2 separate regions of the Mus musculus genome follow, and region 1 is reported to be linked to region 2. Evidence: microRNA targets listed by miRTarBase, many of them from high-throughput screens and not tested one by one. Region 2 holds a microRNA gene; the other region holds the end of a gene's coding sequence.
Evidence for each region. Region 2 holds the annotated microRNA mmu-miR-670-5p (AUCCCUGAGUGUAUGUGGUGAA, at 2,115-2,136, shown strand). A microRNA usually pairs through its seed, bases 2 to 8, with sites in the 3' UTR of a target mRNA and lowers its output. Matches are read on the target gene's strand: a 7mer-m8 pairs with bases 2 to 8, a 7mer-A1 pairs with bases 2 to 7 and ends in A, and an 8mer does both.

Region 1: the mRNA of Snrnp40 is a reported target of mmu-miR-670-5p. Seed matches in the 3' UTR shown: 7mer-m8 at 974-980 and 7mer-A1 at 1,070-1,076.

What each region holds. Positions count from the first base shown.
Region 1 is chr4:130,388,818-130,393,080 of GRCm38, forward strand. It overlaps Snrnp40 (small nuclear ribonucleoprotein 40 (U5)), which reads left to right. Exons shown (of 10, transcript NM_025645.2): 10 at 727-1,216. The coding sequence ends at 776. Among named protein-coding and RNA genes, the nearest start is that of Snrnp40, 31 kb to the left of the region's middle.
Region 2 is chr2:94,259,231-94,263,493 of GRCm38, reverse strand. Mir670 (microRNA 670) reads left to right here and starts at 2,095; the gene lies at 2,095-2,194. The region is part of intron 1 of Mir670hg (a long non-coding RNA gene); the gene reads left to right.

The sequences.
Region 1 (4,263 bases), not on the chromosome of region 2:
GGGCTGGGACAGGTGACCAAAAAGAAGGCAATTGTCAGCATAAAGGAGACACCAGTACTACAATAACTTAACAGTTGCTTTTTACATGAGTACTCAGATAGAACTAGAAGTCTTTTTAATTTTTCCAGACACAGTTTCCAGGGTGTAGCCCTGGCTTTCTTCCTGCCTCTGCTTCCCAAGTGCTGAGATTAAAGATGTGCACCACCATTGCTAAGCCAAACTGAAAGTCTTTTTCTGCAGCTGGGGTCTCACTATGTAGTCTTAGCTGATGCTCACTATCTGTCCATGCTGGCCTCACTTGAGTAATCCTCCTACCTCAGCCTCCCAAATCCTAGGCTCTTCAGATGTGAACCCAACACTTAAACCACAGGAGGGGACCTCAGGGAGAGTCAGTTTATTAAGAATGAGCCTGGGGGCTGGAGAGATGGCTCAGCGGTTAAGAGCACTGACTGCTCTCCCAGGGGTCTTAAGTTCAATTCCCAGCAACCACATGGTGGCACAACCATCTGTAATGAGATCTTTTCTGGTGCGTCTGAAGAAAAAAAAAAAAAAAAGAATGAGCCTGGAGGTTGGAGATACGGTTCAGTGATTAAAAGCCCTGGCAGCTCTTCCAGAGGTCTTCCAAAGGCCATCTCGCCAGCCCCACCATAGTCTCTTGACACAGGGCCCTAGAGCCCCGAGGATTCCCCCAGCCTTCATTGTCTCCTCTCGATCTTTCTCTCTCAGTCCTCTCAGCATCCAGTGACAAGAGGCTGTACATGGGTGAGATCCAGTGAAGATGGGGAATGGAAGGCTCCCGGCTCCCAGCCCTGAGGCTCAGACTGCGGAATTGGCCAGAGTCCGATGGTGTCTGGGCTGACCTGCCTCAGATGACCATCATTAGCAAGCAGCTGGAGGTGATGGCCGTATTCCAGCAACCACTTGTACCACACTCACCAGAACAACTGTGGCCTCTGGTACCGCCTGCCAGATTTCAGGGATTGCTTTCTTCTCTTTGAAAAATAAGATTCCTTCAGAAGGACAAACATTGGATTGATATTTCCTGTTTTTTTTTAATCTAGGCTGGAGACAGGGAATGTCAATTAAAATTTGTTAGTTGGATTTGTTTTCTGTTTTATTTTTAAATTGAATAACTGGCTTGTATGATATTTCTTTCGGTGTTTGAGTCATTTTGTATTTGTATTAAAAATCCAAACAGATAACCTTTTTACAAAAACCTTGTGACTTGGATTTATTGCTGTCTTATCTCTGAGGCGTGACTGCTGTAAGTCAGCAAGCACACATCCGGGAGATACAGTCCATTTGCACGGCAGTGGTGCGCCTTTTCGTGGAGCTCTGTTGGTAGGTTTCTTCACTCCTGTGAAAATGGTGTTCTGTAGCTGAGCAGTGGTGGAGCACACCTTTAATCCCAGCACTTGGGAGGCAGAGGCAGGCGGATTTCTGAGTTGAGGCCAGACTGGTCTACAGAGTGAGTTCCAGGACAGCCAGGACTACACAGAGAAACCCTGTCTCAAAAAACCCAAATAAAAGAAAAAAATAAAATGGCGTTTTATAATTGTCAGGAGCAAATACTTCTCTGTAACTGGAAGCAGAGCATCCCAAAGGTCCACAAGAACCTGCTGCTCGTGTGTCTGGACACATCTCTAACAAACCGGTCCTGGAGTAGACAGGAGTGTGGCAGCCCCAGTCAGTGCCCTTGGCCAGGACGCTGCTTCCTGAGCAGTGCACGGGGACGGTGTCCGATGGGCTCTAGCCGTGGCATTTTCCAGGGCTTTTTATGATCCTGCTTTCTTGTCTAACTTTCCTGCTCTAACAGATGTTGAGAAAGCTCTCATGGGTCTGCTACTAGAAACTTCTGTCTCAAAGCAGAAGTCTTCCTATCTGAGCATATTTGGCTTTAGACTTTGAGCTTATGATCTTAAATCATATTTATCCTAAGTTACAGAGAAGGTGCTACCCGGGGTTAAGAGCATAGTCAATCAACAAACACCTGTTATGTGACAGGCAAAGTCGTCACTGCTGAGGACAGAGAAAGAAAGCATCCTGTCCTTGCCACCATGAGAAGTGCACAGACCAGTAGAGAACATTGTCGGAAATAAACTGCTTTTTTTTTTTTTAAAGTGAGCACATGCCAGAGATTTATTTAACTTATTAATGAGGAAGCCAGCGGTATGGGAAGGCTCTCAGAGCAATTACGTGTAATACAGTGAATGAAGTTTGACTAAAGCACACTGGAAACACAGGAGGAAGCGATTTATTGTGCCTGCGAGAGAACGGGGAGCATCAGAGATGCTGTGGTTATGCTTGGATGGGGCAGAGGATGCAAGGAAGACTGTCTAAAAACAGACGCGATCCTGAGGGCGTGGCCGTGTAGCTCAGTGTGACTGAGACGGGGGGGGGACACAGCAAATGGAAGAAGCCACATCCCAGAGAGCATAAACGAATTTGCCTTCTGGTACTTGCTTGCTCCTGTAGATTGAGGTGTGTTCCGCATATGCAGAGTTTAAAGATCCCATTGTCAAATACATCTGGGAAAGATGGGGTTAAACAGCGTGGAACTCATCACTTTGAGCCTTTACCATACAAAGGATTGTGTGCTGGTAGATCAGGTCAGCCATGGCACATGCCTGTAATCCCAACACTTGGAGCCAGGGGTCAGGAGAGTCAAGTTCAAGGTCATGCTCTGCTACATAGTTAGTTGGAGGCCAGCCTGAGTTTGGTCCCTAGAAACTGAAGAAAAATCCAGATGTAGAGGTGCAAGATGAGAACTGGAGACAAAAAGGGGATTGTCCAAAACGCTCTTAGGCCAGCTATCCTGAAGCACCCACACAGCATGACAAGAAATCCTGCCTCAGAACTAACACCGAGGAAGAAAAGAACCATCAAGCAGAAACATAACTCAGACGTCATATTGGTGCCCCGAGCACTAATTGTGTATATGGCTATGGTGACCTCCAGGAGAAATGTGTCCCCAAAAGGCATTCAGCCTTGTCTTCATAAATCACAAGTAGCTTAAGACCCCTTTTTAAATATAATTTTTAATCTGTGTGTGCGTGTGTGTGTGTGATTCTTTGTGTGAGTGTGTATGTGTGTGTGTGATTTTTTGTGTGAGTGTGTATGTGTGTGGGTGATCTTTGTGTGAGTGTGTATGTGTGTGTGTGATTCTTTGTGTGAGTGTGTATGTGTGTGTGTGATTCTTTGTGTGAGTGTGTATGTGTGTGTGTGATTCTTTGTGTGAGTGTGTATGTGTGTGTGTGATTCTTTGTGTGAGTGTGTGTGTGTGCACTCTGTGCATTCAGTACCCACAAAGGCCAGTAGAGGACGTTGGATCCTGGGAAGCTGTAGTTGCAAGCAGTTTTGAAACACCTGATGTGTATGCTAGGATCTGAACCCAGCAAGTGCGCCCAAGTACAGAGGCATCTCCAGCCCTCTAACCCTTTTCCTACCAGGTCCACATGCCTCAGCCCAGTCCCTTCGACTCGCGTCATTGTGTGTGTTTATAAACATGGTATGTATGTGTGGCACGTGTGACGATCAGAGGGCAGCTTGGTGAAGTTGATTCTACCTTTACGTGGGCTCTCCAGGTTAGGCTTGGGTCACCAAGCTGTGTGTGGGGGTGAACGGGATACATACACGTGCGGCGGTCAGAGAGAACTTAGAGTTAGCTCTCCTACCATGTGGATCCCTGGGGTCAAACTCAAGTTGTCAGGCTTGAGAAGGCCTTTACCTACTGAGCCTTCTCACCAGCCCCTGACACTGCACTTCTAAAGGCCTGCCAGCCCCTTGAGAGTTGGCTGGAGGGTGTGAGGCCTCTGAGACTGCAGGTGTCTCCTCTAACTTCAGCCCCTTCCCAGGAGCCATTAGCAGGAAATGGCAGTACCACTTAGGATGGAAGAGAACAGAAGCCCTAGCCTGGGAATAAAGATTTAAGCATAAAACATCTCCAGGGGGTGCAAATTGTCTCCTCACTTTGGGAGAGATAGATTACTCCCGAATGAGTAATGGCATCTCTGGCTTTCAGTTAATTTCCCTTTATGACTTCAGTCTCTAGCACTTAATACCATGGGCACTTAAAGAGACAAACTTCTTTTTCACTGGGTGGCTTGTTGTGGGCTGAATTGTGCAGGAGGTGGATTTTTAAGTCACTGTTTTGAGCCACCCCAACACACACCTGCAACCCCAGTTCTATCCCTAACCCCTCCCCCGCCCCCAAACAGCTTATTTACAGATAGTTCTTGTGAGCACAGCCCTGTCTTCCCGACT
Region 2 (4,263 bases):
CTGCGGAGATCTGAGGGGGGGGGGGGGGCGAGCGGGGGAGGTTCCCTCCCGCCGCGGCACAAAGCCAGGTGGTAATCAACAAGTGTCTCTCCCAAGATTAGGTTTGAAAAGGACTTGGAGGGTTTTCTAATTCACCGGAGGTCTATCCACTGTGTGTTGTAGAGGGGGGCATTCATTGTTAGGAAGGAGCTTAGAAAAGTGGAGGGGTGGAGTAGGGGGCTTTAACGTCAGTCATTTGACCTTGGGGAACACAGTTCAAATCCTTCTGAGTGTTGAAAAGGCAGAACAAGGGTCACGACCCTCATCTTTCATCCCGAGCTGGGTATGTACCCAGAGGAAAATCTAGTGCCTGCTTTTGGCCACACCTCATCAATGGGGATTCCGTGTGTCTGAAAGCAGCCTTTTTTTTTTTTTTTTTTTTTTTTTTTTTTTTTTTTTTTTTTTTTAAAATCTAGGGAAGCAGGCAGCACTGTCAGCTCAAGAGCTGTGTTTTCTGTCCCCTGCATACGATCTTCTAGGAATCCTGGATCGCCTGTTCTCTGAATAACAGCCACTTCTGGGAGATGTAACACAAATGTGTAGGGGCCTGGTTGGGGGGGGGGGGGATGCCCAGCTATCTTTAAATATAGATAGGGGCTTACTATTCCCCCCCTTTTTTTTGACAGTTTCTCTAGGTAACTCTGGGAGCCTTGGCATTCTGTAGACAAAGCTGGCCTCAAACTCAGAGATCTGCCTGTTTGCCTATGCCTCTTGAGTGTGGGATTAACTCACCACCCACCACCACCTGACCTGGCCTGAGCTTGCCATTTGGATGTCTGGTTAAACTGCACTTGAAATAAGGAGAAGATAGGTTTGGACTGGGTTAGTGGGAGAGAGAACCAGCTGGATGGCAGGTCAAATGAAGGTGATGGTCTGTGAGATTTTTTTCCCCTCCAAAAATGGGGAGGGAAGTGGCTGCACTGCCCAAGGAACTGATAAGGAAATATCAACAAGATGGGGGATTTAGGGAGGGAAATTGGGAGTTAGAACCAGCAAGCCATTGCCTCACCCTCTGGAACTGAAAAAGCCAGAAGGCAGGGAGAGGGACATAGACTAGGTGAGCGTTTGGCATGGTAAGGTGTGGATGTAAACCGATCCTCAGAAGGCAGAGGCAGGAGAATGGCCACAGGTTTGAGGCCAGCCTGGTCTACATAGATAGTTTGAGGCCAGCCTGGACTGCAGAATGAGTACCTACATTAGAAAAAGGGGGGGAAAGGCAGACAGATGGGCAGACAGACAACAGAGGGAGAGAGAGAGAGAAGAAAGGAAGAAAGAAAGAAAGAAAGAAAGAAAGAAAGAAAGAAAGAAAGAAAGAAAGAAAGAAAGAAAGGACATAGGAAGGAAGGGAGGGAGGAAGGAAGGAAGTGAGCGAGCGAGCTGGGTACAGGCTGTATTCATGTGCAGTGCTGCCTGAGTAGAGAGAGTAGAGGGAGGAAGAGTCCATCCCTCACACTCCCTTGTCAGTGTGGAATAAAACCAGGCCAGTATGTCTGATTGATAGGCAGCCCAGCATCACCAAGGATACTGCTTAGGGAACTGCCCCATCATGTCTTGGCCACTGGAAGAACAGCAATAGTCTTCACAGCCTAGGAGGCATTAAGGTGACTTGAGGTGCACTTGTCAGAGGAAATTGCCCTCTTAGGTTAACAGATGTTTCCCTTAGACATAGAGGAGATAGAATGGTTCAGAGAGAAAGTAATCCAGCCTTGGAATTCAGCTGTGTGGCCTTCATCATTCCCTGAACCGCTACCCTTACTTGTGGTCTCCTGAGGACCGAATTCCAGAAGGACAATAGGCATCGCAATGGATATGCTCTGTCACTTCTTTGTCACTAAAGGAGTTCCATGTCCACTAGCCATCCCCCCACCCCGTGCCCAGGCATATATCATATGATGACATGTGCAAAAAGTATATGTGCATGTGTGTGTGTATCAAGACCAAATGAACAAACGTGTGTGTCCTGAGCTCTCACCGCATAGGAGGTCATAAGCAACATAGAAGGAAGCTACCCCCTTCCTCTTCTGCCAAGTCCGGAGATTCTGGAATGCTACACGTGGTTTGGAGGTGGGCCTGACATCCCTGAGTGTATGTGGTGAACCTGAACTTGCCCTGGGTTTCCTCATATCCATTCAGGAGTGTCAGCTGCCTCTTCGCTCAACGCTCGCTGGAGAGAGTGACCTCAAACAAAGATCCACTCAATGAAAAGAATGAAGTTCCATCTTTCTTCCTCCAGTGCCTTGGATAACCCTGGTGTTTCTCCTCTCCTCGGAAATAGGGGAGACGAGCAGAGGCAGCTATATAATTTGGGGGGCCCAATACAAAATGAAAATGTAAAATCCCTTGTTTAAAAATCATGAAGAAAGTACCATTAAAGATGCTGAAATGAAAGGTTCTCTCTTCTACAGTCTCTCTCTAGACTCTCTCTAGACTCCCTGTGGAGCTGACTGCTTGCCACTCAATGTCGTGCTAAATAAACATTATTTTATTTTCATTATTAGTGTGAATTTTGCTACTCATCTTTACATTGTGCGATGCTAGCTTTAAAGACAGATAAAAGAACATCGAGCTTGTTTGCACAATCCCAGAAATTACACAACTTGTGGTTTGTAGGCCATGCAAGCATAGGTGTTTCACTCCTACCAGGACAACGATACACCAAGTAAAATGAACATTCCTGTTTTTATGTCACTTCGTGGTAAGGGTGTCAGGCACTTGTACTCTCTGACTTGCTGTTGCGTAGGGGAAGTCTGAGAAGAAAAGTGGTATGGTTGGCATCATTGTCACCTCTCCTAAGCATGGTTTTCAGTACCCCACAAGATGGCGGCAAATACAGAGAAGGTCTGTGCTGCCTAGCTTTAGGTCAATCTGACACAAGCTATAGTCATCTGAGAGGAGGGAACCTCAACTGAGAAAATGCTTCCATAAGATCTAGCTGTAGGCAAGTCTATACAGCATTTCCTTAATTAGTGAATTGATGGGAGAAAGCCCAGACCATTGTGGGTGGTGCCACCCCTGGGCTGGTGGTCCGGTGTTCTATAAGAAAGCAGGCTGAGCAAGCCATGATGAGCAAGCCACCACCCTAACACACACACACACACACCGTGACCTCTGCATCAGCTTCTGCCTCCAGGTTCCCGCCCTGTATGAGTTTCTGTCCTGACTTCTTCCAGTGATGTGGAAGCCTTTCCTCCTCTACTCATGATGTTTTTCATCACGGCAATAGTACCCCTGACTAGGACAAGGGTCATATATGAGAAGTGCTGTGCTAGGGTTCCTCATGGCATTGGGGATGCATAGAGCTCTGTGGCTTGTCTCCTGCATTCAAAGCACCTTTCCCGTGTAAAGCACGACCTCTCAGGACTGTAAGATCCCCGTTTCATCAATCCTAGACTTAGAGTTCACCTGCCTTGAGTATGACTGAGCTTACACAGCATTCCGTGTGGGGCCCTGACAACAGACAACAGACCGGAAATACATCTCACCTGTCTCTCCCACTCGCATGCTCCACTGCCCTACAGACTTACAAGAATACAACTCCAAAGATAATTTAAGAACGCCAAAGCCACAAATCTTAGGTTCTTATGCCAAGCACTCAGCCCTGCTGAGCACAGGGCTGCACATGGTGACTACACCTGTCACATACTTTTGAAGATATCCTTGGTAGGAAGAGATGAGAATTGACTTTGATCCCGGACTGAGAGTCCAATTGCTCGTCTTTCCCCATCAAGCAAATAATTCCATCTGCAGCAGAAAACTTCACCCTACTCCATTACTGATTGGCTGGAGGACTCTTCTTCTCTAACCAAGTTCCACCCTGAAAAACCCACTACTTCCTGTAGATGTCTCAGCTTTGAAGACAGACTCCACCTGCTGATCTCTCCCTGCCCCACTGATGCCAGGCCCACTGATGGAAGTGAAGCGGCTACTCTGGTCTGTACCTGACACAAGCTTGACTCAGCCAGACTTCTTGCCCAGACGTGCCTTTGGTTTGACCACTTAAAGCAAGTAAACGGTGCTCAACATGTTCCAGGAATGACTATGCTGGTGATTTAATGCTTATTAATCATTATTGATCTCACCATCACTTTGAAGTCTAGCCAGAGATCCCCTGGCTTGGGATGACAGGTTTTCAGAAATTACTTTGGCAGTACGGTCAAAACTCATGTGGACATGAAGGAGTAGAATTTGAGGCTTAAAGGGTCCAAGGGAAGATGGTCCAAGTTA